Linked DNA regions of Tamandua tetradactyla. Each later gene encodes a partner of the first gene's protein in a complex. Links are inferred from orthologs where the notes say so. Each region holds a gene or a part of one and is shown in the gene's direction. Other genes may lie near its edges.

Evidence for each region.
Region 2: the proteins of SFN (region 1) and NPM1 are in contact, whole or in part, in a crystal structure (PDB 7OBG), measured with the Homo sapiens proteins. The link is inferred for Tamandua tetradactyla from reciprocal best matches to the Homo sapiens genes SFN and NPM1. Residues at the interface, in NP_006133.1 of Homo sapiens: Lys49, Arg56, Arg60, Lys122, Asp126, Arg129, Tyr130, Glu133, Gly171, Leu174, Asn175, Val178, Glu182, Ile219, Leu222, Asp225, Asn226, Leu229, Trp230; in NP_001341935.1 of Homo sapiens: Trp288, Gln289, Trp290, Arg291, Lys292, Ser293, Leu294.
Region 3: the proteins of SFN (region 1) and YAP1 are in contact, whole or in part, in a crystal structure (PDB 6G6X), measured with the Homo sapiens proteins. The link is inferred for Tamandua tetradactyla from reciprocal best matches to the Homo sapiens genes SFN and YAP1. Residues at the interface, in NP_006133.1 of Homo sapiens: Lys11, Glu14, Cys38, Glu39, Asn42, Leu43, Val46, Lys49, Arg56, Lys122, Arg129, Tyr130, Gly171, Leu174, Asn175, Val178, Glu182, Leu218, Leu222, Asp225, Asn226, Leu229, Trp230; in NP_001123617.1 of Homo sapiens: Ala125, His126, Ser127, Ser128, Ala130, Ser131, Leu132, Gln133.
Region 4: the proteins of SFN (region 1) and MAPT are in contact, whole or in part, in a crystal structure (PDB 4FL5), measured with the Homo sapiens proteins. The link is inferred for Tamandua tetradactyla from reciprocal best matches to the Homo sapiens genes SFN and MAPT. Residues at the interface, in NP_006133.1 of Homo sapiens: Asn42, Ser45, Val46, Lys49, Arg56, Arg60, Phe119, Lys122, Arg129, Tyr130, Glu133, Gly171, Leu174, Asn175, Val178, Tyr181, Glu182, Ile183, Ile219, Leu222, Asn226, Leu229, Trp230; in NP_058519.3 of Homo sapiens: Arg528, Thr529, Pro530, Ser531, Leu532, Pro533, Thr534, Pro535.

What each region holds. Positions count from the first base shown.
Region 1 is NC_135328.1:199,376,811-199,382,637, reverse strand, and holds SFN (14-3-3 protein sigma), read left to right. Parts: upstream 1-3,911; 5' UTR 3,912-4,078; coding exon 4,079-4,825; 3' UTR 4,826-5,320; downstream 5,321-5,827. UniProt on the Homo sapiens protein: Adapter protein implicated in the regulation of a large spectrum of both general and specialized signaling pathways. Binds to a large number of partners, usually by recognition of a phosphoserine or phosphothreonine motif.
Region 2 is NC_135346.1:52,611,274-52,618,928, forward strand, and holds the start of NPM1 (nucleophosmin), read left to right. Parts: upstream 1-4,654; 5' UTR 4,655-4,776; coding exon 4,777-4,834; intron 4,835-6,841; coding exon 6,842-6,921; intron 6,922-7,479; coding exon 7,480-7,599; intron 7,600-7,655. UniProt on the Homo sapiens protein: Involved in diverse cellular processes such as ribosome biogenesis, centrosome duplication, protein chaperoning, histone assembly, cell proliferation, and regulation of tumor suppressors p53/TP53 and ARF.
Region 3 is NC_135334.1:40,798,978-40,806,763, reverse strand, and holds the start of YAP1 (transcriptional coactivator YAP1), read left to right. Parts: upstream 1-4,784; 5' UTR 4,785-4,934; coding exon 4,935-5,255; intron 5,256-7,786. UniProt on the Homo sapiens protein: Transcriptional regulator with dual roles as a coactivator and corepressor. Critical downstream regulatory target in the Hippo signaling pathway, crucial for organ size control and tumor suppression by restricting proliferation and promoting apoptosis.
Region 4 is NC_135332.1:20,798,957-20,806,646, reverse strand, and holds the start of MAPT (microtubule-associated protein tau), read left to right. Parts: upstream 1-4,684; 5' UTR 4,685-4,805; intron 4,806-7,690. UniProt on the Homo sapiens protein: Promotes microtubule assembly and stability, and might be involved in the establishment and maintenance of neuronal polarity.

The sequences.
Region 1 (5,827 bases):
ACATATGGCTATCTCTCACCTCTAGCTTTGTTCCAGCTTGTCTAGAGATTTTAAAAGACACACACACATACACACACACACACAATAAAGCCAAAAGAGACAAGAGTAGCCAGCATCCTTATCACTCTGCACCTCCACAACTCCGGTCTCAGTTCCAGGGATCCCCAAACCCAGGCTGAGACAGAGAGTTTAGCCCCAGTTCGTGGCTGTCACACTTTTGAATTGAGCCCCACCCAGGGTAACAATCTCATGGAATTTATCCTGTCCCCAGCTGCTGCCCAACATCCAGTCAAACACATACAGTGTGCAAGAGCTAGAAAATAATCACAGCTACCATTTACCAAGGACTGACCAAACACCAGACCCCTTTTCTTACCTTAACCAATGACGAAGGTGCTGTCAGTCCTGTTTTACTGCAGCTCAGGGCAGTTACAGGACCTGCCCTTGGTCACCTTGCTGGTAAAGCAGCAAATCCAGGATTTGCACCTGATCCCTGCCCTGATCTCTGGCCTGTCTGCCCTACCTAAGGAGTGATGAGGGCTGTTCCAGGAGAGTGGGCACTGCAGAGGGAGTGACCCAAACAGAGGAGAATGTCAGAGACAGCAGAAAGGGGGCTTAGAAAAAATCTGGGCCAGCCTCTTCAAATTGTATTGATGGGGAAACCAAGGCCCAGAGGCAGGCAGAGACTTACCCAAGGCCTTATATACAGAGCTGGAATGTAGTCCTATACCCTGACCTCGTACCATTTTCTTTCTACAAATTCCACACTATCTCCTAGACTAGATTGGTTTAGGAAATGAGGGATACTCTAAACAGCAGTACCATGAGGAGAAAAAAACAAAACAGCTGAGTCTCTTAAAATGTATCTGCTCCCAAAGGCAACTACCGTAGTGAGCTCTAAAAGAGCTGGAAAACTAGCCTCTTCTTCACAACTAAATGGGAAGAAGGTGCCATAGCCTCCTCGTGTCACCTTTTAGTTCGAACATTCCAAGACTGAAAAATTTCCTAGGAAGTTCTTTCTGAATCTAACTAGAGTCTTTCTTACTGCAGTCAAAGCCCTGTTCTCTGTTCTTGTGAAAGTAGATAGCAATTGGTTACTGTGTCACAACCCTTCCACTAGGAATTGATTGTCTATAGGCCCAGAGACCTTGAGGCTGCTGATAGGACAGATGCTGTGTGGAGGGGTGGGGAGGTTAGTAGAAGGGATGGGGAAAGTACCATTGAGCAGCAGCCCCAACTTCTGTCCTGCTGACTCAGGTGACTGACAGTGGAGCTCTGTGCTATGCCAGGACCTGCTGCCTCCTGCCTGTCTGGGCTCTGGACTTGGGAAACAGAAGCCTGGAGGCAAAGGGAGGTGCAGGAACTGAGTCAGGACTGACAGGCCAGAGCGAGCAAGAGGTTTCTAGCAACCTGTCTCCCAGATTCACCCCTGAGCTTCGGCAGGGGAGGGGCAGGTATGAAGGGGGACTCCTTTCCCTTGCTCTGGGGCTGTGCTGAGGGCATAGAGCTTTGGCATGAATCACCACCAGGTCCCCTGGCTTAAATGGTGGGAAGGGAGGACTCCCTGGAGTCCAAAGAAGTTTCCTGGTACCCTGGGACCTCGAGCTTTCCCCTCAGGACTTGGGAAAGCCTGGCTAAATGACTAGTGCAAAGGAAAGTACTTGAGGGCCCACAGCCTTCCTTAGACCAGAGGAATGTCCTAGATGGAGAGAGAAGAGGCAAGGTTTCAGCACATCTGTCCATTCATTCAGCTGGAGAGGGGAGAATGTGGGCCAACATTGCCTCCTTCTCTCTCCTGTGGGTGCCCAGCTGGGCAACATCTGGTCTTCGACTGAGGTCTGGTTGACAGCTCTTCCTCATTTCATAAACCCAGCTCCATGTTAATGCTTTGTGTGAATATGTTTATATAAGAAAGTTGGTTGGTTTTTTCACATAATAATAATAGTTACTGTAGTCACCACCACTCTCAAGTGCTTTCCCTGGACTCATTTAATCCTCACAAGTCTCATTTTACATTTAGGGAAACTGTGGCTCACAGAGATTAAGTAACTTGACCAAGGCCACAACAGTTTGTAGTGAATGAACCCAAGCAGTCCATCCAAAGATACTAGGCTGTGTTCTGTCTTTCATAGAAAATGATACATATTCACTACTGAAAATTTGGAAAGGATAGGAAAATCCCAAAGCAGAAAAGTCAGAGCCTCACTATCTAAAGTTACCCTCTATAAGTTGACATTTTAGTGTATTTCCTTTCCATCGTTTTCTGTGTCAGTGCTCCAAATTGAGCAGAGTCTTTGGGATGTCTAGCCTAAAATCCTTTCTGCTTCCTTGGAAAACCTAGGTCTAGGCATAAGCCTAGACATGTCCCTACTCTTCCATGAAGCAAAGAGGCATACCTCATCTTTGGGCTCCTTCCAGGAGGGCAGGGTGGGTGTTCAGATACCAAGAGGAACCAGGGAAGGCACAGCCCTGCAAAGCGGTCCTAGCTCAAGGATTAGACTGGTTGAGTTCCAGCAAGGGCAGTCCCTCCCCTGAGTCCCAGATGAGCTTTGGCTAGGGGTGGGGCAGATAAGAGGAATCCACTCTCATAGGCTCAGTGCCAATACCCTTAGGTGAAACTCTGGAATGACTGGAGGGCAGGGCTCAGTGAGCAGGGACAGAAGGTTGGCAAGGAGAAGATTCCATCTTTGGGACCTCTGCCAGGGGTCAGAGGTGGTGTAATGGGCAAAGGGAAGGGATAGGGAAACTTCTGAGAGGCTAGGCTGAGGAAGGAGTATATGCTGGATTGATGCCCCATAAAACAAAATGGTATGTGTCACCACCACCTCCATTTCCTCAGTACTGTCTCTCTCCCCACATTGCTGGCGTCCCCCCTGGGGAATCAGACCGGGCTGAGTACCCACGTGGTCTGCTTCCCACCCTCTGACAGAAGAGCAGGCTGAGTCAGGCAGGAAAGTGGGACAGCCAAGGAACTGGGCCCTCACCCCCCATGAGCCCTGCTGATACATAATGATGGCAGGTGGCTTGGAGGGGGCAGGTGGCCTAGCACAGAGAGCCAGAGAGTAAGTCCTCAAACAAGTGGCAACAGGCCACTGACTTGAAAGGGAAAATTGTGCTGTGATAGGGAAGGTGCCTGACAAACCTATTGCGTGACTAATTACAAAGGCCGGATTGGAGCGTCAGTGGCCGCTTGTTAAACACCTCATTAAGTGGCACCCTGAAAGCTGCCACCTCTGTAGTCTGGGAGCTCAAAGGGACCAGGACCCTGAGGGGAAATGAGGACGAGAGCTTGGGACCTTCTTCAGGGTCTAAATACAGCCTGGAGCTCACAGATCATAAAAGGCCTTGATGGGAGAGAAACCAAAGGAAGTAGGGTACAGAAGGGAGAGTCATAGGGATTTACTAGCTATGTGACCTTGAGCAAATTTCATCCCTCTCTGAGCCTCAGTTTTTCCATCTTTGAAGTGGGAACAGTGCTGCCCACCTTACAAAGCCATAGTAGGAAAAAAATTAGATCATGGATATGAAGTGCTTGGGAAACTGTATAATCCCACCTAAACATGAGTTACCTCATCTGAACCAAGGAGGCAGGATGAGGAACCCCATCCTCCTGTACCTGTCTATATGGGCACTGCCTGGGCTAAGTAGCCAGGTGGCTGATGCCATCTGTTTCCCCTGGAAAGATGCTGTGAAGGAGGATCTAATATGAGAAACCCAGACAGCTAAAAGGAACACCCGTGTAATGGCAGTCCTGAACAAGAGGAGGCAGCCAGGAGCCCCAAAAGGTGTTGGTGCAGGTGGGGCCCACTCCTGCATTTCTCCTGCTGACTGTTCTGATGACTCACCTCCACGTCCTGGCCCTTTTACCTTTAAGGAAGAGCCGGAAAGGGTGTGGGGAGAAGAGGAGAGGGAAGTAGGTCCCAGGCCTTAGTCCCTCCCCCTACCACTCCCCACCCTCCTCTGGGCCAGGCCACCCAGCCAAAAGGCAGGCGGAAAGCAGGAGAGGCACAGAGCTGAGTCCAGCATTGGTCCTGAGGCAGCTAGTAAGCCCAGCGCCTGTACGACTGTCCCCAGAGCCATGGAGAGAGCCAGTCTGATCCAGAAGGCCAAGTTGGCAGAGCAATCTGAACGCTATGAGGACATGGCAGCCTTCATGAAGGGCGCTGTGGAGAAGGGTGAGGAGCTATCCTGTGAAGAGCGCAACCTGCTCTCTGTGGCCTACAAGAACGTGGTCGGTGGCCAGAGGGCCGCCTGGAGGGTGCTGTCCAGTATCGAGCAGAAAAGCAATGAGGAGGGCTCGGAAGAGAAAGGGCCCGAGGTGCGAGAGTACCGGGAGAAGGTGGAGACCGAGCTCCAAGGCGTCTGCAACACTGTGCTCGGCCTGCTGGACACCCATCTCATCAAGGAGGCGGGTGATGCCGAGAGCCGGGTCTTCTACCTGAAGATGAAGGGCGACTACTACCGCTATCTAGCTGAGGTGGCCACAGGTGATGACAAGAAGCGCATCATCGACTCAGCCCGGTCGGCCTACCAGGAGGCCATGGACATCAGCAAGAAGGAGATGCCGCCCACCCACCCCATCCGCCTGGGCCTGGCCCTGAACTTTTCCGTCTTTCACTATGAGATTGCCAACAGCCCCGAGGAGGCCATCTCGCTGGCCAAGACCACCTTCGATGAGGCCATGGCTGACCTGCACACCCTCAGCGAGGACTCCTACAAAGACAGCACCCTCATCATGCAGCTGCTGCGAGACAACCTGACGCTGTGGACGGCCGACAACACTGGGGAGGAAGGGGTCGAGGCTCCTGAAGAGCCCCAGAGCTGAGCCGGGCCTGCCATCCACCCTGCCCTACCCCACCCTCTCCAGTCCCCCACCCCCGGCAGAGAGGACTCGTATGGGGTGGGAGGCCCGACCCTTCTCCCTTAATGCCCTGCCCTCAGCTCAGGAAGGCTCCATGGAGAGGAACCAGCAGAGCTGAGGCCACCTGGAGCCACAGCATCTCAGCTGTCAGGTGCTTGTGACCACTGATCTCCCCACCTGCCCCAGCTCTCTGCACCCCTTCCTCCGTATCCCGTCTGGGACCTGGGCCTCTTCTTCTTCTTCCTCTCCTGCCTCCCTCCTGCCCCTGCTGCCTCTGGATCTTCGGAATTGAGGAGTGTCCCACCCTTGTGTCTGAGAGGGGACTGTGGTGGGGAGGTTGGGAATGAGTGTGTGTGTGACCGTGTGTGTGAGTGTGAGAGCAAGATGGAGAATGAGAGGGAAAGCATGTTTGCTGGGTGTGACCATGTTTCCTCTCAATAAAGATCCCCTGTGACACTACTCCTGTCTTTTCCAGTTATTGTCGGTGGGCTGGGCCTGGGATTGGTGTATAATTTACAGAGACCGACTTTGGAGCTCTAGTTTAAGGGTCCCGACCTCCTCGAAGGGCCAACTCAGGCCCCACAGACGGGATTTTGGTGTGTGTGTGGGGGGGTGGCTCGAGATGAGAGGCAGATGGGCCAGCTCTCGTCAGGCTGGCCCCAAACAAACTGGGCCAAGGCGAGGGTGAGACTCCTCCGCCAGATTGAAGGGAGGTGAGGGATGCCTCAGTGCAGGAAGCCAGGGAGCTTGGGTCTGAGGAGGCAGGAAACTAGCGAGGGCTCAGGCTGAGGTCTCAGGACAAGGCCCCTAGCACGAGCGCTCCAGATTTGAAAGCCAAGAAAAGTCCCATTAAGTGTTCAGATCTGGGCGGGGAAAGGGAGTATGAGGCAAGGGTATGACGCCGCCATTAAAAGTTCAGATCTGAGGAGAGGGGAGAACAGAATGAAACGCGCTGTTGGGAAAGAG
Region 2 (7,655 bases), on another chromosome or scaffold:
ATTAAAAATGTGTACATAAAGAAAAATTTTAAAAATTACCCACCTTTGGAAAACAAACAAAAAAACTAGCCCCCTTTGGAGACTATTAAGGTTCCACTTTGTTATTCTGAAAAAAGGTAAGGGGAAAGACAACGATTTTCCTGCCTACTGTTTTCAGGGTAACCAATTAGTTGACAACCTTCATAAAAGAATTTCAGATAATAAATGCAGAGGGAGTGACAGAATTAGAAATAATGGATTGAAGCAACAATCCACTAAAACTCTTAACTGAAAGATGAGTGGTGAATGGTGAGTTGATAAAGGAAGAATCAGGTCAACACCACCTGATTGAACTTAACATTACAAAACAGAGACACACCAGACAATACGTGTCTCCTAATGCAACAGGAAGTATTCTTGCCAATAAGTCTAGAAGCCTCTAGATCAGCACCGCCTAGTAGAACTTTCTGTGATGATGGAAATGTTTTGGTGTGCTATCCAATACCATAGTCATGATCCACATGTGGCTATTGAATACTTGGCTAGCGAGACTGAGGAATTGAATTTTTTTCCCCTTAAACTTATTTTGAAATAATTTAAACTTGCAAGAGTTTTACAAAATCCATATAGAGAACTCCAACACTCCACCCCCACTGATACCCAGACCTCCAATTTTAACATTTGCCACACCTGCTGTAGCAGTCTGTCTATCCAGCTACCAAATTTTCCAAACACGTGAGAGTAATTTGCATACACCATGCTCCTTGAACACATAAGACTTCCACGCGCATTTCCTAAGAACAAGGACATTCACATGTAACCACCTTAAGTACAGTTATCAAGTTCAAGAACTTTAACACTGATATAAAATTACAGTTTATATTCCAATTCCAACTTTTTTTTTTAATAGGTCCTCGTACTGTTTTTTTGGGACTTTTCTCCTCCACTATTAAATCCAGTCCTGGCTTATGTATTGCATTTAATCGTCATCATCTCTTTAGTTGCCCTTTATTTAAAATTATGGAAACAAACGTACATAAACTTTCCTATCCCAACAACTTCCAAGTATATCATTCAGTGGAATTAATCACATAAACAACGTTGTGCTACCCTCACCATCATCTATTACCAGAATTCTCTCATCACTCCAAACAGAAACCCTGCACCCATACGCAGTAACTCCCCACTCTTCCTCTCACAGGTACTCTACTTTCTATCTCTATTCATACTCCAGCTATTTCACATAAGTAGAATCTTAAAATATCTATTCCTCCGTGTCTGACTTACTCCACTAAACATGATGTTTTTAAGGTTCATACATGTAGTGTTATTTTATCAGAACTTCATTCCTTTCTAAGGCTGAGTAATATTCCATTGTTTATGTATACCCCATTTTGTTTATCCATCCATCTGGGAATGGACACATGGGTTGCTCCTACCTCCTGGCTATTCTGAATAACTCTGCTATAACCATTGGTGAACGTTTATCTGAGTTCTTGCTTTCAATTCTTTGGGGTATATAACTAGAAGTGGGATTGCTGGGTCATATAGTAGCTCTGTTTTTTTTGAGGAACTGCAAAACTGTTTCCTACACTGGCTGCACCATCTTACATTCTAACCAACCATGTACAAGGGTTTCTATTTTTCTGTCTCCTCGACAGCACTTATTATTTTCCATTTAAAAAATAATAATAGCCATTCTACGAGGAGAATGAGGACAGTGAGGAGGTAGGATGTGAATTATGTTAAATTTAAATAGCCACATGTAATTAGTGGCTACAGCATCAGACAGTGCAGCTCAAGATCTACCTACTAACTTTCAGAAAATTCAGGGATAACGGGACATGTTAAAGGAAACATCTCAGTATAATGTATAGATCTTGCTTGGATCCTTATTCAAACAAACTGGAAAAGACAATTGTGGACATTTAAACTAGGTAATTCATAATGTTAGGAATTAGTTAAAATTTTTATTTGAATCACAATGGTATTATGTTCAGATTTTAAAGATTGTTCTTATCTCTCAAAGAAAGGTACTGAGATATTTCTAGATGAACTGATAAATGTCTTGGACTTTCTTTAAAGAGGCCGATGGAGGTGGAAGGGGAAGGAGAAGGTATATGTGAAACAAGATTCTGTATGTTGAAGTTAGATGATGGGTAAATGGATTTTTACCATAGCATTATTTCTGTTTTTATGTATTTGAATATTTCCATCATAAATGTGTTAAAAATGAAGGAATAAATAAAACCTGGAATTTTAAAAATAGGACGTATGTTCATCCTATGGAATACTATGAAACTCATAAAAAAATAATACAGTTGGACTCTATTATATAATGGAAAGATAGCTAAGCCACACGAAGTGAAGGGACAAAGTTGCAGAACAATATACAAATACATGAAGTGTGAATCTATTCATGTCAACAATAAAAAGATGTATTTATATGTACATATGTTCATAAGTAATACCTGCCTTTCTACCGTAAGTTCTTTTTTAGCATATATTCTACACAAGTATTTTTAGATATCCATAATGATATATACATAAAGATTTTTACTAAGACATTATTTTTTAGAGCAAAATTATGGAGACAAACTCAATGCCCCTCAGTGGAGGAATGGACAGTTAAATTATAACACAGCCATATTATGAACTAATGTGGATAAATGTCCAAAATATATTTTTGACTATAGAAAGTTGAATAAGATGTGAATTACCCAGAATTTCAGAAAGAAACAAACAAAATGTAACTATATAGTCTGCCCCCTCCTTCTTTCTCTCCCTCTCTAAAACATATAAAGTTAGCTGGAAGGATACTCACACAATTAACAGTGGTTATTCTAAGATGGAAAGAGAGCCACTTGTAATTTTTCACTTTGTACAGGCCTATACCACTCTATTTTAAAAGACAATGAGCATTATTACATTTGTAAATCTGAAAAATGCAGTAAGTGGGTTTTCTAACTGCTTAACTCCATGAGATCATATCCAGACTAGATGCCTAAAACATTAGAAACAACAAATGTATTTATTTTCATGAGCCACAGCTCCTACCTGGTTCAGGCTCTGTACAAGTTTGCATTAAAATGATAATGACCCTGAAATCAGAAAGAAATTGCAAAGTAATTTCAACCTTTATTCGAGTGGATCAAAAAACAGTAACACCTCCTCCTTCACTCTCTTATAGCTCATCTTCACTTTTTCATTCTAAATGAACTCTCCTCAATCTGATCCTCCTGTTTCTCTACCTTTCCTAGTCCTTTACATACATATTCTTTCAAGTTTCAGTATTTTCTCTAGCAATTAGGCCATATTCTGCATCTCAAAAGATCCAAGAACAAAGACTCTTGTTAGGATTGGGGGTAAAGTGGGGAACAACTTGGCCCCTTCCACATATTGGTCTTATCTGATTTGTCTTTTTGCATAAGGATTCTCTAAATTTAGGATCTGGATTCTGTTCATTAATAATTGGTTTATTTATATTATAGCTGACCTTCCTAACTAGATTATATTTGTAGAAAAGGGAGTGGGGGCATCAATATCACTATTTTCAGTTCCCACAGTATTTCCTAAATTTATTGTTTGATCTGGTGAGGTAAAAATTAAACTAGGGGACCCTAACTTGTCAAGGTGTTGTGTAAGATGCTTATTTTCAAGCTCATTCTCAAAGATTCTAATTAAAGTTTACGCAGTCGTATAAGTCATACGCCTTCGCTCTAGAGGCATGCTGAAGATTAAGAACTGCATTATCTCAGGGTGGATCCTCAAAAGCTTTTTAAGAATGATGTAGCATTCATTGGGTTGCCCTGGAGCTAGAGAATCAATTAGTTCCCTGTCTCACTTTCTCCGTTTGGCAAGTTATTTCATACCTCTCGGCCCGTATTCTGGTGTGCATAATGGGGACAGTCACATATACTTCACAAGGCCTTGTATGGACATACTGTGCATACACAGTCCTTTAAAAAGCTTCTTTGAAAAAAATCAGGCACGTATGGTCCCTTGCCCTGCGCGGTGGAGAGGGATGACAGTCCCATTTGGCCCCAGAAGCGAAAGGACAACTATAAAGACGTAAGTGAGTTAAGTTCGGCTAGTAGCTAATTCTTTTCTTCCCAGCGCAATGCAACAGAAAAGTTGTAGTTCACTCTGTCTCTGGCAGCTTTAGCTTTTCTAACTTTGGGGAAACAATGAACTCCGAACTCAGGCCTTCAGGCAAGTAAAAAATCCTGGAGCGTGCCTGTTTGGAGACCTCCGGGGCACGAGGGGACGAAGAAAGGAAAACCGAGCGGCTCTCTGAACACTTACAAACAGGATCAACCTCCTACCTAAAAGAGCTCTGGGGGCTGCCGTCGCCATTTTGCAGGGTGGGCTGCGTAGGATCTGGGCGTGCGACCCGTGCGACTAGCGGAGCGGACGTGGACGGGTTGGAGGTGGAGGCGCCCGGCAAGGGAAACGCGTGCGCACAGAAGAGGGCGACGGAAGGGTGGGGCCAGGGTAAGAGTGCGCGTGCTCGGTGGAAGCCCGCGAAGTACCTGGAGGAGGTAGGGGTGAGGTAAAAAGAAGATGGGATAAAGAGCGCTTGCGCGGGAGGTCGACTGCAAAAGGAGGGGGCTCCCAAGCACGCGCGCGGAGGCGGGACTTGGAGGATCTCGCGAGATATACAGGGATCTATATAAATGCGCGGGGGAGCGCGCGTCCTTTCCCTGGTGTGAGTCCGTCCTGCGCGACTGTTCTTTGCAACAGTGGTTGTCTATCTCCGTCCGTCTTCTCACCTGTTTAAGTGCTTGCCACCACCCCATGGAAGATTCGATGGACATGGACATGAGCCCCCTGAGGCCCCAGAACTATCTTTTCGGTAACTGCTGGAGGTTTGGAGCGAGGTCGAGCAGGGCCTGGTGGCTTTGAGGTGGGGGTGGGGAGAATGGGTAATGGAGATCTTACTGAGGCTTGGGCTGGTGGAGGAAGCTAAGCGTGCTGGAGGCCCGAGGGAGGGAGGGGCGCAGTGGGAGCCCAGGAACCTGAGGGATGGGGAGCGAGGAAGGCCGATGCCGGAGCTTGGGAAAGCCTGCGGCAGGAAGTGGGGGAATGGGAGCGGCCTGAAGCCTGGGGCCTGAGGCCTAGTGCGTGAGGGCGAGGTAGAACCGGGTGAAGGTTTGGCTTTGCCTTGGTATGCGGTAGAGCTCCGGCTTTTTCTTTGTCGAGACACGTGGGAGTTGGTATGTCTTTGATTCTAGGCCAGTATGTTTGCTGCTGGATCCCCAGGTATTGGTCCAGAAGGTCGTGTGGGCTCTTGGGGAGGCCTGAGCCTATTTTTCTGCAGAAGAGAATAGCTATAGGCTGGAGTTAGAGGCTTCGCCAGGTTTCCGGATCTCAGCGTCCAGGGCTGTATTACTGACTCTCGGTCTTGGTCTCTTGGCCGGTTGTAAGGGGGAGGGGAGGCACAGCGGGATGAGAGGAGGCCGCAACCGCTGGCAGCACGTGGTTGCCACGTGGTTGGGGGAAGGAGGAGGCGCGGGCTATACATCCGGGGCCTCCTAGTGTATGTCAACCCGGAGCCAGGGATCTTGTTGTGGCTTAATTGGAGTTGTTGGGCGGGAAACGTTAGGTGAAGTGATTGGTAGCGCTAGGGTTCTGGAGATCTTTGTGCAGTTCTTTGCACATACAGTAGTGGTAGTAATCTTCTATAGGGCTTTTTTCTGTGTCACTGCGTTAATGGTCTTAGCCCCATTTTGCAGATGACGATACTGATGTTCAGAAGTTAAGTGGCTTAAGAATTTACTTGTAGGAAATGGATGCTAGAGCCTATCCGAGACTTTGTTGCTCTGTCGGTGCTGTGTAAATAGGGTAACGAGGCTTTTTTTGTTTTCTTTTGTCTTTGGTGGGTTGGGGATGGCGGAGGCAGCCCTCTGGCAAGGGATAACCCTACTCAGCCCGCTTTTGCCTCCCACCATATGTAAGTACTGAAGGAGAGGCCTGCTTTGGTTTTCAGTCTCAGGAGGCTTATTAACTGAAAGCTTTTCCTTGTGGGCAGTCAGGCCATATCCAGGGTTTTTAACCTTGGAGTAAGTGCAAATATCGCCCCAAATTTGATTTCTTTATTTGCTGTTCTAAGACTTATTTATTGGGCAATAATATTCAAGCATGCACATCCGGTTAACTGTTACAGTGCTTATTAAATAGAATTATTTGAATTAACTCTGTTATGACAGTATTAAAACAATTTTCCCATTCCTATATGAAATGTATCTAGCATTTTAGACATTCAGCACGTTAAGGCATTACTTCTAAGTTGCTAACCAGTTTATATAAAAATATTTGTTCCTTTTATTGGAAACACCACTGGAGTATATCTTGTGCTTTAGAAGTGATTACTGAATTACTAATGTACAACACCTTCTGTTAACTTAAAGGTAATCGGAAGGCCCTTGTAACAAGGTTTGTTTGTTGGTGTTTGAGTAGGCTTCTCCCCCATTTCTAATTTGCTGCTTTTGGGGGGCAGTTTAGACAGATAATATAACTTTAAAATAGTGGGAGATTATCAACTTTGTACATTAAGTTTGGCCTCATAATGGTTAAGTAAATCTTTGAGCTGAGTTCTAGCAGCAGAATGGTTATAGTGCCTGTCTCATGTAGTGGAGAATGAGTTGGGGAAATGGAAAAGTAGAATTTATAAAGCCCTGTATGGATTTTATTTGACGTTTATAGAATTCTGTATTCAAAAAATCTGAGAAGAGATCATTTTGTCTTGCTCTCTGGAAGCTAGAATAGTAAAGTGAAAAACAAGTTTGCAAGTTATCAAAATGGTAAAGGTAATTTCAGTTTCAGTTTTCGCTCATGTTGGTTACTTTTTTCTTCATTACAGGTTGTGAATTAAAGGCTGACAAAGATTATCACTTTAAGGTGGATAATGATGAAAATGAGCACCAGTTATCTTTAAGAACGGTACTTAAAATTTCAAAATAAACTACTTAACCTTTCTTGATTTCACCCTTTTGGATCCTGTTTATCTGGCTTATGACTTTCACTGTTTTCCTGACTGCTGATAACAGCATCTTTATGATTAGTTGTTATAAGTACTGGATAATATATACACCTGTGATACAGACAGTACTGGGCATCTTTACCACTCTTCATATAGTCACATCACTTTTTAGCTTTCCTTATTTATATACTTTGCTTCATCAGTTGTGTTATAAAGCCCTCTTGTCAGTTATAATCATTTATTCCTCACTGAGACCAACCTAGCATTCAATTTGTAGTAGGTGCTCTACTGTATTTGTTAAGCTATCCATGCCATGTTTATGCATTTCTTCAAATTCGCTGAATATGAGAACTTGTGCACACGAAAACTGTAACACTTAAATTGTGCATAAATTGAAGATTAGTTTTCCATCAATGGTGATAATGAAAGGTTTATAGTTTTTTAAAAACTTTACACATTTGGGGGCAGATTGTAAAATAGCGGAAGCTTGAGGATGAGGGACTATTTTTTGTTCACAGGTCAGTTTAGGGGCTGGTGCAAAGGATGAATTGCACATTGTTGAAGCAGAGGCAATGAATTATGAAGGCAGTCCAATTAAAGTAACACTGGCAACTTTGAAAATGTCCGTACAGCCAACGGTAAGAGCACTTAAATCATACTGTGTTGAAGTAGTATAATGAGGTTTAAATCAAGA
Region 3 (7,786 bases), on another chromosome or scaffold:
TAAGGCAAATTAGTGATACCAAGAGCAGGGTGTTGAAGAGGGCACCCAATTTGGGGGCATGAAAAAGTGGGTGAATCATGATGCCATTAACTGAGATGATGAATCAGAAGGAGGGTGTGGCTGGAAGGGCATGTATGTGGTTGGAAGAGGGGAGGGTAAGGATAAAGAGTTCTGTTTCGGATGTTAGTCACAGGGTAAATAAACAAAAGGTGAGAAAATGAAGAACAGACGTGGACTGCTTTTCCTAAAAACATACCTGTGGAGGGATGGGCCTGTCAGCATGTATACCTGTTTCTGTGAGGTCAGGGGATGACATACAGAGTCTTTGTTGTGATGGCCTCCTTTTCTCTGAGCAGTTGGAGATGACATCATTTTCTGAAGGGTAAGGGGTGATGGATGCATATAATGAGGAGAGCGATGAAGTTTTGAGTAGCCATATGATATGAGGGAGGACAAGTTGACTGTGGACCCATAGAAACATTGTTAAAGACTATACCTGTGGAGGGGACCAGTCTACTCAGCTGTGAGGTTCCCTTCAGCGGTTCCCAGGAACCTGGGTGTTAGCCAGGCTCCCAGGGTCTGAAAGAGGGCTGGCCACTTCCTCTTTTCAAGTTCCCAGTATATTCAAGCATGTCAGAAATGCCAAGAGAGGACTGCAGAAGCAGAGAATGTTTTAAATGCCTACACTTTGCAAATAATTACAAGGTAATATAATTGTGCTACTCACCAGATAATTACAGAATTTACTTAAAATATTAATCCATAATCTATTACAGATAGTGTCCTTTGGTTATGGGACAAAGTTTAAAGTTCTACAAGAAATGCCTTCTTGTAATGGTGTAGGTATATCTCTGAGATGATAGCATAATCTCTTCTGGACAAAATGTCAAAAGCTTCAATTGATGCTATTAATGAAAGAGCGGCTTGGGTCCCCTAGTCCTTGGACGTTGAAGTGGAAAAGACTGATAATTGGATTAATCCAGCTTAGTAGATCCTGCTCATTGAAAACATGAGGCAATGGAATTGAGAGCATAGATATTTATGAGAGGTTGAAGCAATGGATTATTATCTCTAAACGAATAGAAAAGGAAGTGAAAACAGGAGAGAGTGATAGATTGGGAGAAAGGAGAGAAGTCATTGTAAATGCAGTGTGAGTAATGAAACAAGATCATTTGGATATTAAGAGAATGATATATCCTCCCTACATGGGACATGACATCCAGGGGTGTCTCCCTGGTAACATGGGATTTCACTCCCAGGGATGAGCCTGGCCCTGGCACAGTGGGATTGACAATGCCTTCCTGACCAAAAGGGGGGAAAGAATTGTGACAAATAAGGTATCAGTAACTAGAGAGTTCAAATAGAGTCGAGAGGAGGCTATTTTTACACAAGCTTCAGCTAGATATTGCTGTTTACCATGGTTTGCCAACCCCCAACCAAAACTATTCCTGCCAATCCTAAAGAACACCTAGGGCTCTATCTGAGATTCTACAAAGGTTCTGTGCACTATAATTACTTTCAGAAACCTACAACTTCTAGATGGGGTCCTGAAACTCAGAGGGGCCAGCCTCTCCAGAACATCAAGTAATTCCACCCCCCATCCCATATTATCAATAGCCCTTTCCAACATGAAAGAGTTAGAATGAGCACAGTCCAAATACCCTTAAAGATTGGGAGAAAGATCAAAGGAGAAGGTGGAGTTATAACAGAGAATATAGGAATTGTCTAATGAGTATTACTGTTGAATTATATTGATACTTCTTTTAGTCTCCAGTATCTGGAGCAACTATAAGGAAAAACCTGAAACTGTGGAACTATAATCCATGCCAAACTCTGAATTTGTTCTTTAATTGTTGGGGTGTGCTTTGAAATTTATTGCTTTTTTTGTATATAGGTTATTTTTCACAATTAAGAAAAGAGTTTGATTTCAAGACTGAGTTATTTTGGGATGATGTTAGGGTGCAGACACAGGAGAAGGTGGCTGAAGTGGGGTGGAGGTGAGGATTCAGTGGAGTTGAGAGGTCAAGTAATTCTAAGAGTAGTGTTTTGAGAGGATAACCTACATGGACGTTGGAAATTATCCTGGTAAGTCTTTATATGAAGAAGGTGTCTCTCCATTTTAAGGTTCGTAAACTGGTAATTATTCCAAAAGGGGATGGAGAGAGGGGACAATGTGTTGAATACATGTTATTTTTATCCCTTTCTAACCTGATTGAAATTTTATAGGTGAGGAATACCAAGTTAAAAAATCCTGGTTGATGGTACAAAGGTACTTAGAGAACATAAAATCACTCCAAACAACTTTCCAATCCACTTATCCAAGTAATTTTGTCACAATTTCAATGGCAGGTGAAACAATATTGAACAAAGCAACCTCTGCTGTACCTATCCTAAGCCCTTTAATTGTAGTGTTCACAGTAGTAGATGCTGTAGTTAAGGGACAGCTTCCATTACAATTTCAGATTTTCAATCACTTTACTTCTTAAAATATTTTCATTCAAAGTTTTAAATGCATAGTTTCTACCCAAATGATCTATGGATGGATGGTTGAATGTGAGAGGAATGGTCTGCCAAGATCCCAGCAAGGACAGCTAATAACGCTGTGCTTAGAGAGGGACCCTTACTCCTCTCTAAAGAAGAGGCCATATCATGGAGTGTGTGTGTGTGTGTGTGTGTGTGTGTGTGTATGTGTGTGTGTGTGTGTGTGTGAGAGAGAGAGAGAGAGAGAGAGAGAGAGAGAGAGAAAGAGAGAGAGAGAGAGAGAGAGAGAGAGAGAAGTAATGTATGAACATGTGACAGTGTTAATAGCTGACATTATTCATCATACACTAAACACTGGGCTAAGCACTTTATCCCCATTGACTCATTTAATACTCCAACAACCTATGAGGTAGGTATTATTATCCTTCTCCTCCCCAGTTTTAAAGATGAGGAAATAGTAACTTGTCTAATGTCTCAGCTAGTAATGGTGTAATTGGGACCTGAAGCCAAATATCTATAACTCCATAACCCACAAACTTGTGATTAAATGCACCTGACATTTGGAGAGGGGGTAAAATCCAAGAAGGGGTCGTGGGCATCATTTATGCTGGGATTCTTCTTCAGATGGGAAATTGGGGTCCAGAGCACTTGATTAACATAGGGCATTAGAAGCTTGGCAGTCTGAAATATCATCCTCTGGCACGGCTCCACCACCAGATCCCTCAGAATTTCTGTGGGCACATCCTGGAGGAAGAGATTATCTTTTTTTTGTCAAGGGCTCTTTCCTTGTTTATACATCTTTCTTTGTTTCACTAGCATTGCAGATAAAATCATGAAAAGCAGCAGCCAGATTTCTTTAGAAAGGGTAGTAGATTTAAAGAGTGATGTTGCACAACCCTGTGAGTAAACTAAAAAAAAAACATTGATTTATATGGACTGAATTGTATGGTATGTGAATTATATCTCAAGCTGTTTCTTAAAAAATGAAGAGTGGTAGTACAAATTGAAAACAAATTTTGATTGCTCCTGGGTGCTTTCAAGTGACTTCCAGGCATATATGGCACTGCCATATTGAGGACCAGTGGTGTACTCCTGGCCCATTCATTTCTCATTCAGTCAACATCCACCGAATCCTGCATTGTACCAGCAACAGTGATAAAAAGGGGTAGACTCCCACCCCCTCTAGGATGAAAGAAAGGCAGGTACACCGAGGAAAGTTTGTAACCAAAGGTAGCACTGATTTTTCGCTTTGAGGTTTTCAGTGACTATGTTGCAAGTTTGAGTGCTACAATAGTTGATGTCACTTAAAAACACAATGAAACTCGTGTACTTTAATTCACCGGACAGGATGAGAGGCAGGCAGTCACAATGCCCCGAAGTATCTAAACACTGCAATCATATATCCCTTTCTAGTGGATACTCACATGCTAAAAGCTGAGTGAAAAAATACCAAATCCAACTTAGTGTTAAAAAACAGATTTTTATTAAAAGCGGCGCTTGCTACTGGTATCTGTTTTAACTCCAACCTATTCTTGCGGCTTTAACCCAGAATTGGCAGTACTGGTGGGGTTAAATCGAGCTAACGCGGGGCGGGTTTAAATGGATTTCCACGTTCTATACCAACTTTTTTCGGCCTTCCATTTCGTATCTCCAGGCAAGAGGAAGCAGCTTTTTCCCGAGGACTGCGGGGCGGGCCGCGTTCTCCAGAGAGACCAACCACAGTTCGGATCCAGGAGGGCCCAGTGTTTCCATCCGGCCGGCAGCCCTCTGCGTCCCGGCTTCTGCCCCTGGATACACAGCGGAGGACCAGACTGAGGGCAAATTAGTCACGTGCGGCCGGGAGTTTGCAGGAATGTAGTAACTTGCAGGAATGTAGTAACTTGCAGGGGAAAGTTTCCCTCCGCGGCTGGTCGCGGATTCGGCGCGGGCGGGCGCGCAGAGGAAGGAAGAGCCGGGAGGAGGCGGAGCCGGCGAGTGGCTCGGGCGGGCAGTTCTCTCAACTTTAGTTTTGGCGTCTGAGCCGAGTTTCTGTCTCAGTCGGGCGCAGTCGCCGCCGGGGAAAAGAAAGGGAGGAAGGAAGGAACAAGAAAAGGAAATAAAAGAGAAAGGGGGAGGGGATAAGCAGCTAGCTGTTCGGCCTCCGTCAAGGGAGGTGAAGGAAAAAAAAGTTCTCAGGCGCCGCAGGTCCGGGTCCTTCTCAGCCCCTCCCGAAGCGCAGCCGCCAGACCAGTGCAGCCGGGGCGCAGGGCGGGGGCGGAGGCGCCGGGCGGGGGATGCGGGGCCGCCGCGCAGCCCCCCGGCCCTGAGAACGAGGAGAGCGCCGCTCCCGACGCCCAGCGCCGCCCGGCCCGCAGCTCTTGCCGCTTCTCGCGTCTCGGCCCGTCGAGCCGGGGCGTCCGGGCGGAGCCCTCGTCCGCCGGGTTAGGGGGTGTGCGTCGGGGGAGGCAGAAGCTATGGATCCCGGGCAGCAGCCGCCGTCTCAGCCGGCCCCCCAGGGCCAAGGGCAGCCGCCCGCGCAGACCCCCCAGGGGCAGGGACCGCAGCCGGGGCCCGGGCAGCCGGCGCCCCCGGGGTCCCAGGCGGCGCCGCAGGCCCCTCCCGCTGGGCACCAGATCGTGCACGTCCGGGGGGACTCAGAGACCGATCTGGAGGCGCTCTTCAACGCCGTCATGAACCCCAAGACAGCCAACGTGCCCCAAACCGTACCCATGAGGCTCCGAAAACTGCCCGACTCCTTTTTCAAGCCGCCGGAGCCCAAATCCCACTCCCGACAGGTAACCTAGCCGCCTCTCCCCACATCCCCGTCGGGCGGGCCCCAGGCCTGGGCCGGGGTCGGGGGATCGGGATCGTAGCCCGGGCCGGGGCGAGGGTGTTCCGGGGTGTCTGTCGGGGGCTAGGGGGACTCTCCCCGGTGAGGTGTGCCAACTCCAGGCGCCCGCGCGGCCGCCGTTACCGAGTCCGGGAGTCGGGGGCCGAGATTTGTTTTTCCCCTTGGAGTTTCTCTCTGCGGCTGCAGCCCCGGGGAGTGTGCTTTTCCCCTTCTTCCTTTCTTTCTTTCTTCCCGGGGTTCCCAGGAGGTTGGCGGGAGTGGAGGGGGAGGTGGGGAGGAAGGAAGGGGGTGGGGAGAATCGCCGCCCGGGCCGCGGTGGGCTTGCACAATGCGCGCGCCTCCGCGCGCTCCGCACCTTCGCTCCCGCCGCGCCTGGGGAGGGGGAGGGGGGCCTCTGGCATTTGTGTGTGGGTGAGTTGCCAGCGGCGGCCGAGTTTGTGAAGTTGAGCCCTGGGCCCCCTTTCCTTTGGGCCTCCTGGTTCACTTCAGTCTCCTGGGGAGTCAAATAATTGTTCTCTTGTTTTCCAGTGTTGATTAGAGGGTGGGGGTTGAACCAGTCCATTTAGTTTCTTGCTCTTTTTCCCCCTCCCCCGGCCGAAGGCATTTATTTCCCTCACTGCCCCGGAGGTTTTAGAATACAGGATCCGGGCTTCCCCTGCCCAGGCTTTCCTGGAAGTTGTTTATGGAGTTAGATCTTTCACCCCTGGCTTCCCTTGAGACCTGGAACTCGGGCAGGCCCTCTCTTATTAAACCTAGTAGGTTCACGTGTTGGTTTCCTAGTTGTAAACTATTTACATTCTGCTGAAATGCTTTTAAATTAGCCACATCTGCACGTTACCCAGGCACTGAGTTGCGCATTACCCGTCTCGAGGTTTTAACACAGCCTTAAATAATACTCTGCAGGTTGACTCATAGGCAGAGTCCTGCCTAGTTCAACTGTGATTAAAAGTTAATGTTTGGGAAGCTATGACTAATTCTAGGATCGCCATTGCTTTCTGTTTTTTTTTTTTTTTAAGTTTTTATTTTTATTGCCATTGCTTTTTAGTTCTTGAGGATGTGAACATGGCTGCTTTCCCACCTAGACAACGTTCGATTATTTTGTCAACTTGATTTAATATTGAAGTGAAATTATTTTATTTTGACAGTGTTAACGTTCCGATACGTCTCAGATTTATTTGTGGAGATTTTATTTTTTTTAAGAACTTGCTTCAGGCTAAACTTCAGCATAGAAACTTTGTCCAAAAGTTAATTGGTTTTCCAAATACTGCACTGTAGTTAGTCCACTCGGGCTGTAACTTGAGTGGAAAGAAGAGTTACGCCCCCATTTTCCTTCCCTCTCCTGTTTGCAGGCCTGTTATATATTCTCTTGCGGCAGACTTAAGAGATTTTGGAACTCAGAAAAGTTCACTCAACCTGCTGACAAAAACCGGGGTTAAGGACGAGGAAGGAAAAACAATTTATCTGCTTGCATAAATACTCAATTTGTAAGAGGTAGTGGACTCAAGTAAACTTTTTTCTCTCACACCTGCAAATTGGCATCTGGACTCATGGGTAAATGCATGTTGGCATGCATCCTACAGAGCACACAGCTATGCTGCTGGTTACTTAATAAGTTTTGAAAGCATAATACACTAAAAGTAAAAAAAATTTCAACTGAAAAGTATACTTATTCTTCTAAAAATATTTACACAAGAACTTATACCCATCAGTTTGTGGATAATAGTATTTACCTGGCAGATTCCTACTATTTATAATCTATAGTTTTGTTTGTTTTTAAAAATTTCTGAACTGTTGTGCATCTGTAAGTTTAACTTTTATTTTTTCTTGGAAACTTGACTCTAGTTTTAAGGTATAAATGATTTTGCAGATTCCTCCCAGTCTCCCTTCTTTGCCTTTATGAATTTAGGTAGTTGAGACTTTTTAATAATCAAACCCTCTTTCTAATCAGTGGATTTTAAACAACTACTAAATTATGAATAGATTGAACCTGAGCTGTAAATACTCTTGTCCACAAACTACTTAATGTAAATTCTTGTGTATATTTCATTTATTACCACATTTTTCCATCATGAAAAAAACCGTTTTACAAATAGAGAAAACTGAGGTTTGCAGGTTAAGACATTGTTCATTGTCATACAGTCAGCAAGTTAGAGTAGCTTGGACTGGAACCCAGCTATTTAGGGGTCAGAGTGCAGAAAAGTTTTTGCTATTACACGGTTATAAATATGTAAGTGTGTTAGCTCTTAAGTTATATAAGAAATAGTTAAACTGTTAGTATCTTTGTCATGTAGGTAAAAAGATGTGGTTGGTTTTTCATTTCATTCATTAAGATAGCTTTAAAAAGACAACTTTGGGGTGGTTCTGGATCTTTTTGCATTCTTTAAAAGTTGTATAACTTGTGATGATTACTTTATTGATGGCATTTGTTTATAGTGAGTATAAATGACATTTGACATGGTTTAAGATTTGGCCTAG
Region 4 (7,690 bases), on another chromosome or scaffold:
TTTTTGCTTTTTACCTCCATTGTAAATCAAAACGCATATGACAGAGACTGTTAAGTTTTTACCAAATCCTTTCTCCTCCTCTTCCTGGGCACAATTAGAGGTAGCCATGTGACCAAGTTCTAACAGTGGGATGTGCTCAGAGGCCACTTCCAGCCTCTACAAGAGTCAGTGTACTTCTTCCACATCCTCCCTCTACTTCTGCCAGCTGGACCCTGTACGTGGTGACCCAAGCAAACAGCATGGCCTCATGAGTGATGGAGCCGCAAGATGGAAGGAGCCTGGGTCCCTGAACCTCATGTGAAGGAGGCTTCCCCCAAGCTGGAACTCCCACACCACACTACTATGTGAGTGAGGAAAAAAAAAGTACACTGTGTTTGAGTCATTACATTTTGGGATCTGTTGGAAGCATTCAGCTTACCTTGATTAATACAGTATGTCAAAAGATTTGGTGGCAGAGTTCCCAAATTCTACAAGTTTCTGGATCTCAGTTCTAACCCCACCTAGGACACTATTACATACAAAAATTGAAGCCTGATGAAGGTAATGAATTTGCTCAAAGTCACACAAGATGGCTAAGGTTAGAACGCAATGCTCCTGATAGCAATTAAATTCTCTTTTCCCTATGCCATTTTGCCTTCTATGGTCAATATGTTAAGAGCATGACAGGCTGTACATGGCCATGAGCTTTCTCTTTCATCAAAGGGGAAAGGGGAGGAAGAGAGGGACAGGATGCATTTTCTTGGCCTGACTTACTGAGCCATTAGCTACCTACAATGATTAAATTATCCGGAATGAACATGCAACTCCACATTAAATATAGTTGGATGACAGATCTGCTTAAGATTGTTGCTGTATTCATTACCTCAACTTAATGTAGGCAAATGTGATTGTTCTAGTTGCCGGAATACAATATACCAGGGACGGAATGGTTTTTAAAAGGGGAATTTAATAAGTTGCTAGTTTACAGTTCTAAGGCCGAGAAAAAGTCCCAATTAAAGCAAATCTATAGAAATGTTCAATCTAAGGCATCCAGGGAAAGTTATCTTGGTTCAAGAAGGTCAATGAAGTTGAGGGTTTCTCTCTCAAGTGAGAAGGCACATGGCGAATACAGTCACAGTTTCTCTCTCTGCTGTTAGGGCACATAGTGAGCAAGGCGTCATCTGCTAGCTTTCTCTCCTGCTTCCTGTTTCATGAAGCTCCCTGGGAGGCGTTTTCCTTCGTCATCTCCAAAGGTCGCTGGCTTGTGGGCTCCCTGCTTCTCATGTTTATGTCATTCTTCTCTGCTCTCTCTGAATCTCTCATTCTCCAAAATGTTTCCTCTTTTATAGGACTCCAGTAAACCAATTAAGACCCACCCAAATGGGTGTAGACACATCTTCCCTAATCCAGTTTACCAACCACTCTTGATTGGGTTACATCTCCAGGGAGATGATCTAATTACATACAGTATTGAATATGGATTGTTCTGCCTTTACGAAATGGGATTTTGATTAAAACTTGACTTTTCAAGTGTACATGCATCCTTTCAAACCAGCACAGTAATCATTCAGTGTTAGGGGACTACAGTGTCACCAGGTCCCTGCCAATTATCAATTACACTGTATTTTAGAGGAAAGAAGATGAAAACTGAATGGAGAGGTATGTTATTTGGCTGCTAGTTATTTTACATATAGAAATGAAATGCTGTGTAGCAAAAGCATTGATAATGAAGATGATGTTGAAATAAAAACTACTAATTTTCATTTAACGAATGCTCATAATTTACTGGGTACTGTGCAAGACTTTACATGTACCATATATATTATCTCATTTAATCCCTAAATCTGTCAATTTTGCTTCAATAACAAATAAACCTAAAATCTCTGTGGCTTATATAACAAATGTTTATTTCTGGTTCCTATTCTATGTACCTCCTCACAGTTTTTTATTCTGGGCCTAGACTGAAGGAACAGCCCTATTGGGACATGCCATTCTTGCGGCAGAGGGGAAGAGTAAAAGAGCTGGTGAAAACTTGCAATGACTAGTAAAAGCTTCTGCTCTGGTGTGTGCATTCCATCCACCAGTTAAGTTGCCAATGACCATCACAAGGCCAAGTCGAATATCAAGAGGAGAACAGAGAGCCAGGACTCCGCAAACCACATGGTAGCAAGAGAGGACATATAATCCTTATGCAGGAAATGGGGAAAGGAAACTATTGGGTACATAATAAAATCTTGATCCTGCGAGACAGACATTAAACTTTGCCCATTTTCAGAGAGAAAATGAGTAACTCTGTTAAGCTTCTTCCAGAGGTTGGAAATATCCCTTTCAGTTAGCGTGATTAGGGAAGCCTTTGTTAAAATACTGGCGAGTGGAGAAAGAGGAAGGACTTTTTACACAAAAGAAAGCAGCAGGAAACAGACATGAGGAAGAGTTCCAGTCAAATAAGCTGTTTGACCACAGGGTAGAAGAGAGATAAAACTGGAGAGGGCATGTGCCAGTTTGAAAGGATGTATCTACCCTAGAAAAGCCATGTTTTAATCCTAATTCCATTTTGTAAAGGCAGCAGTTTCTTTTAATCCCTATTCAGTACTGTATGGTTGAAACTTTAATTAGATCATCTCCCTGGAGATGTGACACAATCAAGAGTGGTTGTTAAACTGGATTAGGTGGAGATGTGTCTCCACCCATTCCAGGTGGGTTTTGATTAGTTTACTGGAATCCTGTAAAAGAGGAAACATTCAGAGAAAAGGAGAGGTTCTGAGAGAGCAGAGAATGGCATAGCCATGAGAAGCAGAGAGTCCACCAGCCAGCGACTTTTGGAGATGAAGAAGCAAACGCCTCCTGGGGAGCTTCATAAAACAAGAAGCCAGGAGAGAAAGCTAGCAGATGATGCCGTGTTTGCCATGTGCCTTTCCAGATGAGAGAGAAACCCTGACTGTTTTTGCCATGTGCCTTCTCACTTGAGAGAGAAACTGAACTTCATCGGCCTTCTTGAACCAAACGTATCTTTCCCTGGATGCCTTAGATTGGACTTTTCTACAGGCTAGTTTTAATTGGGACATTTTCTCAGCCTTAGAACTGTAAACTTGCAACTGAGTAAATTCTCCTTTTTAAAAACCATTCTGTCTCTGGTATATTGCATTCTAGCAGCTAGCAAATTAGAACAGGGCAGGAGCTCAGATCATGTGGGACCTTGAATGCTGTGCTAAGGAGCTTAACTTCACTTAGGAGGCAGTTAGAAGCCTTTAGATATTTTAGGACAAGAAAATCCTTTGATTAAAATGATCAGGTCTGACTAGGGTGGGCCAGGTGGGCTGAGGGGGGGAGAAATTGAGAGCCAGGAGATCAATAAGATCACTGCATGTCCAGAAGCCAGGGACAGTCTTGAAGTAGGGTAGTGTAGCTAGAATAGGGGAAAAGAAATGTCAATTCCAGCGACTCATAACCAGTGGTTTAAGAAATTAGATCCCCATCTCCATCATTCCCCCCAGTAGGCCCAGTAATAATATATTAATTAAACCTGTATCAAGTGTGAGTGAAGCATTCTTAATAACTTGCTTTTTATATTACTCTGTAACAGACAACATTGGTTTTAAAAATAAGAGTGCTATGCAAATAAAGCTTCAAGACAAGTTCCCATTCTCCAAGAGGGAGCTAGCTGCCCCTAAAGCCCCCTACATAGAAAACCTCCCACTGTCAGGGTTTAAATTAGATGTTGAGGAAAGGAGGAATCCAGGCCCAGGAGGAGGAGAGCCGCTAGCCAATTTCTGACTGAGGTATTTTCCCGGTGAGAATCTTCCGCAGGCGCTTAGGCAATCACAGCTCAAGCTGCACGTGACAGTAGAATGGTGTTTCAACAAACGAAATGAAACGTTCTGCAATACGATGAGCGCCATTTGAACTTCGTCTATTTTAAGATTTCATCTGAGGGTCACGATAAGATACATAATTGATTCAAATGCTCATTACTTAAAAACTGTACTACGCATTACAACTGAGTTAGTCTGTGCTAAGAGGATCTGTCAAGGAAAGAATTCACCTTGGTCAATAAGAAAACAGGTGAAGAAAATAGAGAAAGGAATCGGGTCCTAGAGAAACTGACCTCCGACAAGGGGAAGGCTTCCATTTCGGGAGACCCCCGGGAGGGTCGGGGGCTCGGGCCCCGGACGAGCAGGGCAAGGCTCCGGAGTGGACGGACTGAGAAGCCGGACTTGTGGAAACTCGTTCAGGGTCTTTCCAAGCTAGAACACCGCCCCAGGACGAAGGGAAGGGAGCGGGCGGCAGACGTGGTGGGGAGGAGAGGGCAGCCTGCCTTGCCCCGACCACGTTGGGCCGCCAAGCCTCGGCCCCGAGGGAAGAGACCTCTTAGACTAGACAAAGGCTCCAGCGGCGGGAGCCGGGAGGCTGGGAGTACGCGTGCGCCCCAGAGCGCGCGTGCGCGCGGCGGTCAGCGCTGCGGCCCTTGGCGTCGGAGGAGGGGGTCTGGAGAAGGGAAGCGCCTAGAGGAGTGAGCGAGGAGGCGGAGAAGGACAGAGAGGCGGGGTGCTTGCGCACGCCCTCTGGTGGCCGAGAAGAAGCTGCCCGCGGAGGCCTGCCTGCCCACCCCTCCCTTAGGGAGGCTCGCGCTCGGGCTGCTCGCGCCTGCGCTGCCCGCCGGCCTCGGGAGCGCGCCTTCTCGCCGGTGCGCGCGCGCGCGCTCGCAGTCACCGCCACCCACCAGCTCCAGCACCAGCCGCGCCGCCGCCGCCCACCTTCTACCGCCGCCACCTCAGCCACCTTCTCCTCCTTCTCCGCTGTCCTCTCCTGCCCTCGTCCTCCAGCAGGTAAGCGCCGAGGCTCCGAAACCTGCCTCTCCCTCTATCCCTCTGCACCGTACGCAGCTGCCCTTCGCCCCTAGCCCCGAAGATGGGCTTCAAGCACTTAGCACCGATGGAGTGGCCACGACAGGAGCCCCTCCCTACTCCTTTTGCGCTCGGAGGCTTGTGGCTAGGTCGGCTTGGAAAGGGACGCGTGCAAGGGATGCACGGACGTGTGTGTGAGCTCGGGGTAGGGGTCCGCATAATCGGCTTCGCGCAGACCTCAGTCCCAGGTTGCGCCCGCAGGGTGGGGCGCGGATGGCGGTGACCTGGGGGAGGGGGTTGCTCAGCATTCTCCATCTCCGCCTTTTGCCGCAATGGGCGTGTATCTGTGTGTGTAGAAGGTGGGTGGGTATCCAACGATGACCCCCGAAAGCGAACCTGTAATCCGATTTCTCTGTCCCTGTTGCCGTCAGCTCTAAGGAGGTATGGGTTGGGTTCTAGAAAAGATGATTCCCTGCGTGCCCCTCCCTACACCTCTCCGGCAGCGATTCTGATGGGGCCTTCGCTGCCCCTGATTTAAGGCGGTGGCCCGCCCCTCCCCCTTTTTTCTCCTTCAGAAATCCACAGGGGACATTTGGGGGCTGGGAGTAGCATAGGAGAGATGGGGAGGGGTCCAGGCGCTGTCACTTTAGCTGCCCTTCCCCTGCGCGCTCCTGGCACCGAGACGCGAGCAGCGCCGTGCCCGAGAGAAGGTAGCGCGCAGATCCAAATGTGGAGGCTCGGAAAGGCAGGGGTCACACGGCCTTGCGAGGTGGACTGAGCGGCCCGCCGATCCTTGCTCGCGGGCGCGCACAGGTCGCAGCCTCGCACAGACCTGCGCCCGGCTGCAGGTGCATTTCGGGCGGGCCCCTGTCCCTGAGCCATGCGCTCTACGCCGGGCGCGGGGGGTGTGCGCTCCCTGCCGGAAGCGCGGAGCCGGCGCGCGGGGCTAGCCCCTCACTGCGGCAGTGGGTGTGGACCCGGGTGGGCGAGGAGGGGGAGAATGGGCTGTACCTTCTCCCACCCCACCCCCTTTTTTTCCCCTCTGATCGCGAGGTGCCATCTTTTTGCGGCGTGTCAGGTCTTTACCGTGCACGCCGAGCCGGGTGGCCCGGCTTTTGGAGGAGCAGGGCGGGGACTGATAATTGGGGGAGGGAGACAGCGCTGAAATCTTGGCGTTTTGCTCCTGCAGGCGCGAATACTGGGGCTTTTCACCCGGGATCTTTCTCGGGGGTTCGTTGCTTTGTTTGTAGGGGTTACGTGATCTGCACCCCCAGTCCTGGGTTGTTGGTTTTGTTTTGTTTTTTTCCTTTTATGAAATAAGGGTGCTTTGCCACTGCCCCTCCCCCCTTTTTTACCCCTCCATTTCCGAGCCTTTTGTTGGCTCTCGGGGCTTGCTGGGATCGATGAACTCGAGTCACAGCCCTGGGGGCACGTATGGAACGGGCGTGTCCCCGTGCGTCCTCCTCCCGGGGCCTGACAGTCCTTGGGGCTCAAGGGGTGGGATTCGGGGTCTCATACGCTCCGAGGGTGACCGCAGAGAGACTACGCCACTTCCCGGTCCCCGCACGTTCTGGGAGCCACGCCCCACCAGCCTGCCCAGCGAGGGGGCGCCGGCGACCCCTCGGGAGATACGGGGGAGTTCGCAGGCGGGGCCTATCTCCTCTGGAAGCCCTGTTGCTTCTCCCGGCGAGGGAACGTGGTGGCGGTGGCGGTGGCGGTGGGGACATTAGGTTCCCCTGGGTGCTGCAGCCACACCCATCTTTCTGAGTAGGAAAGGAAATTAGGAATAGGATGGAGCATGAAGTGGGAGTTGTCATGGAAACCACACGCGTCCGGACAAGGGACCCTGGGGAGCTGCCCTGCCCCTTCCCAGTGGAGCTTGAGCACTGTAGGAGGGACCGTGCCCCCTCGGCCTCCTAGATGGTGCGTGGGGATCGGGATGCAGCCGGATTCCTCCACCCAGAGCCCGTGGCTCTGCCTAATTGGTCAACGGCGGCCTCATCCACCCAGACACGGCGTCGCTGTTGCTTTATTATTACAGCCACAGTGATGAATATTGGTAGGAACGTGCGGGATTTCCACTTAAAAGACTGGGTTCACCGGCACCCTTGAAGCCAGGGTGGAGGGAACCCCGGCGGGCAAGTCGGAACCTTGCCCTCGTAGAGTCTACACCTGCGATGAGTCCGGTCGGCGCGGTTCTCTCTGGTTCATTCTATCGCTAAAAAGTGGCGCGGAGTGCAGTTCTGAGAGGGATGGGTATTTAGGGGCCAAATTTTCCCCGCAGGCGGCCCAAAGTGATCTGAACTTCCGGGACTGGCTAGGCTAGGGGTCGAGAGCCCTCCCCGGGTCAGGCCGCGCCCCCCACCGGCTAAGGCGTTCGGGGGGCGGGCGGGGGGCGCTGCGAGGCCTCCCGGCTCAGCTGGGCCAGCCGCGGGGGCGCTGCGGGAGCGGCTCAAGGATCCATCGGAGCATCTTCTCTCTCGCCCCAACAGGTCTGGGCGTGGAATTCTCGCTCCAGACTGAGCGAAGGTCCAGAGCGGCCCTGGAAAAGAGGAGCCCGCGGCCAGGGTGTCACCTTCCGTGGTTGGGGGAAAGAGTGCCCGCGGGGGCGAGCGCATTTAGCCTAATACTGGGAACAAAGCACCGTACACGCGTCTGCAGTTTCGCTCCATTTTGAAGTGTGTTGGTTTGGTGGGGCGCGCAGGAAGGGAAGGCCTGGAGGTTGTTAAAGGTAGAATCCCTGGGTCCAGGAATGGTTCCTGCGGCGATGTGTAAACTCCATTCCTGGCTCCCTGCGCTCTCTGTACGCTTTAACGAAAAGCTTCGCCCCCGGAATGCACGCGCATGCAGTGTTTGCGCCGACGTTG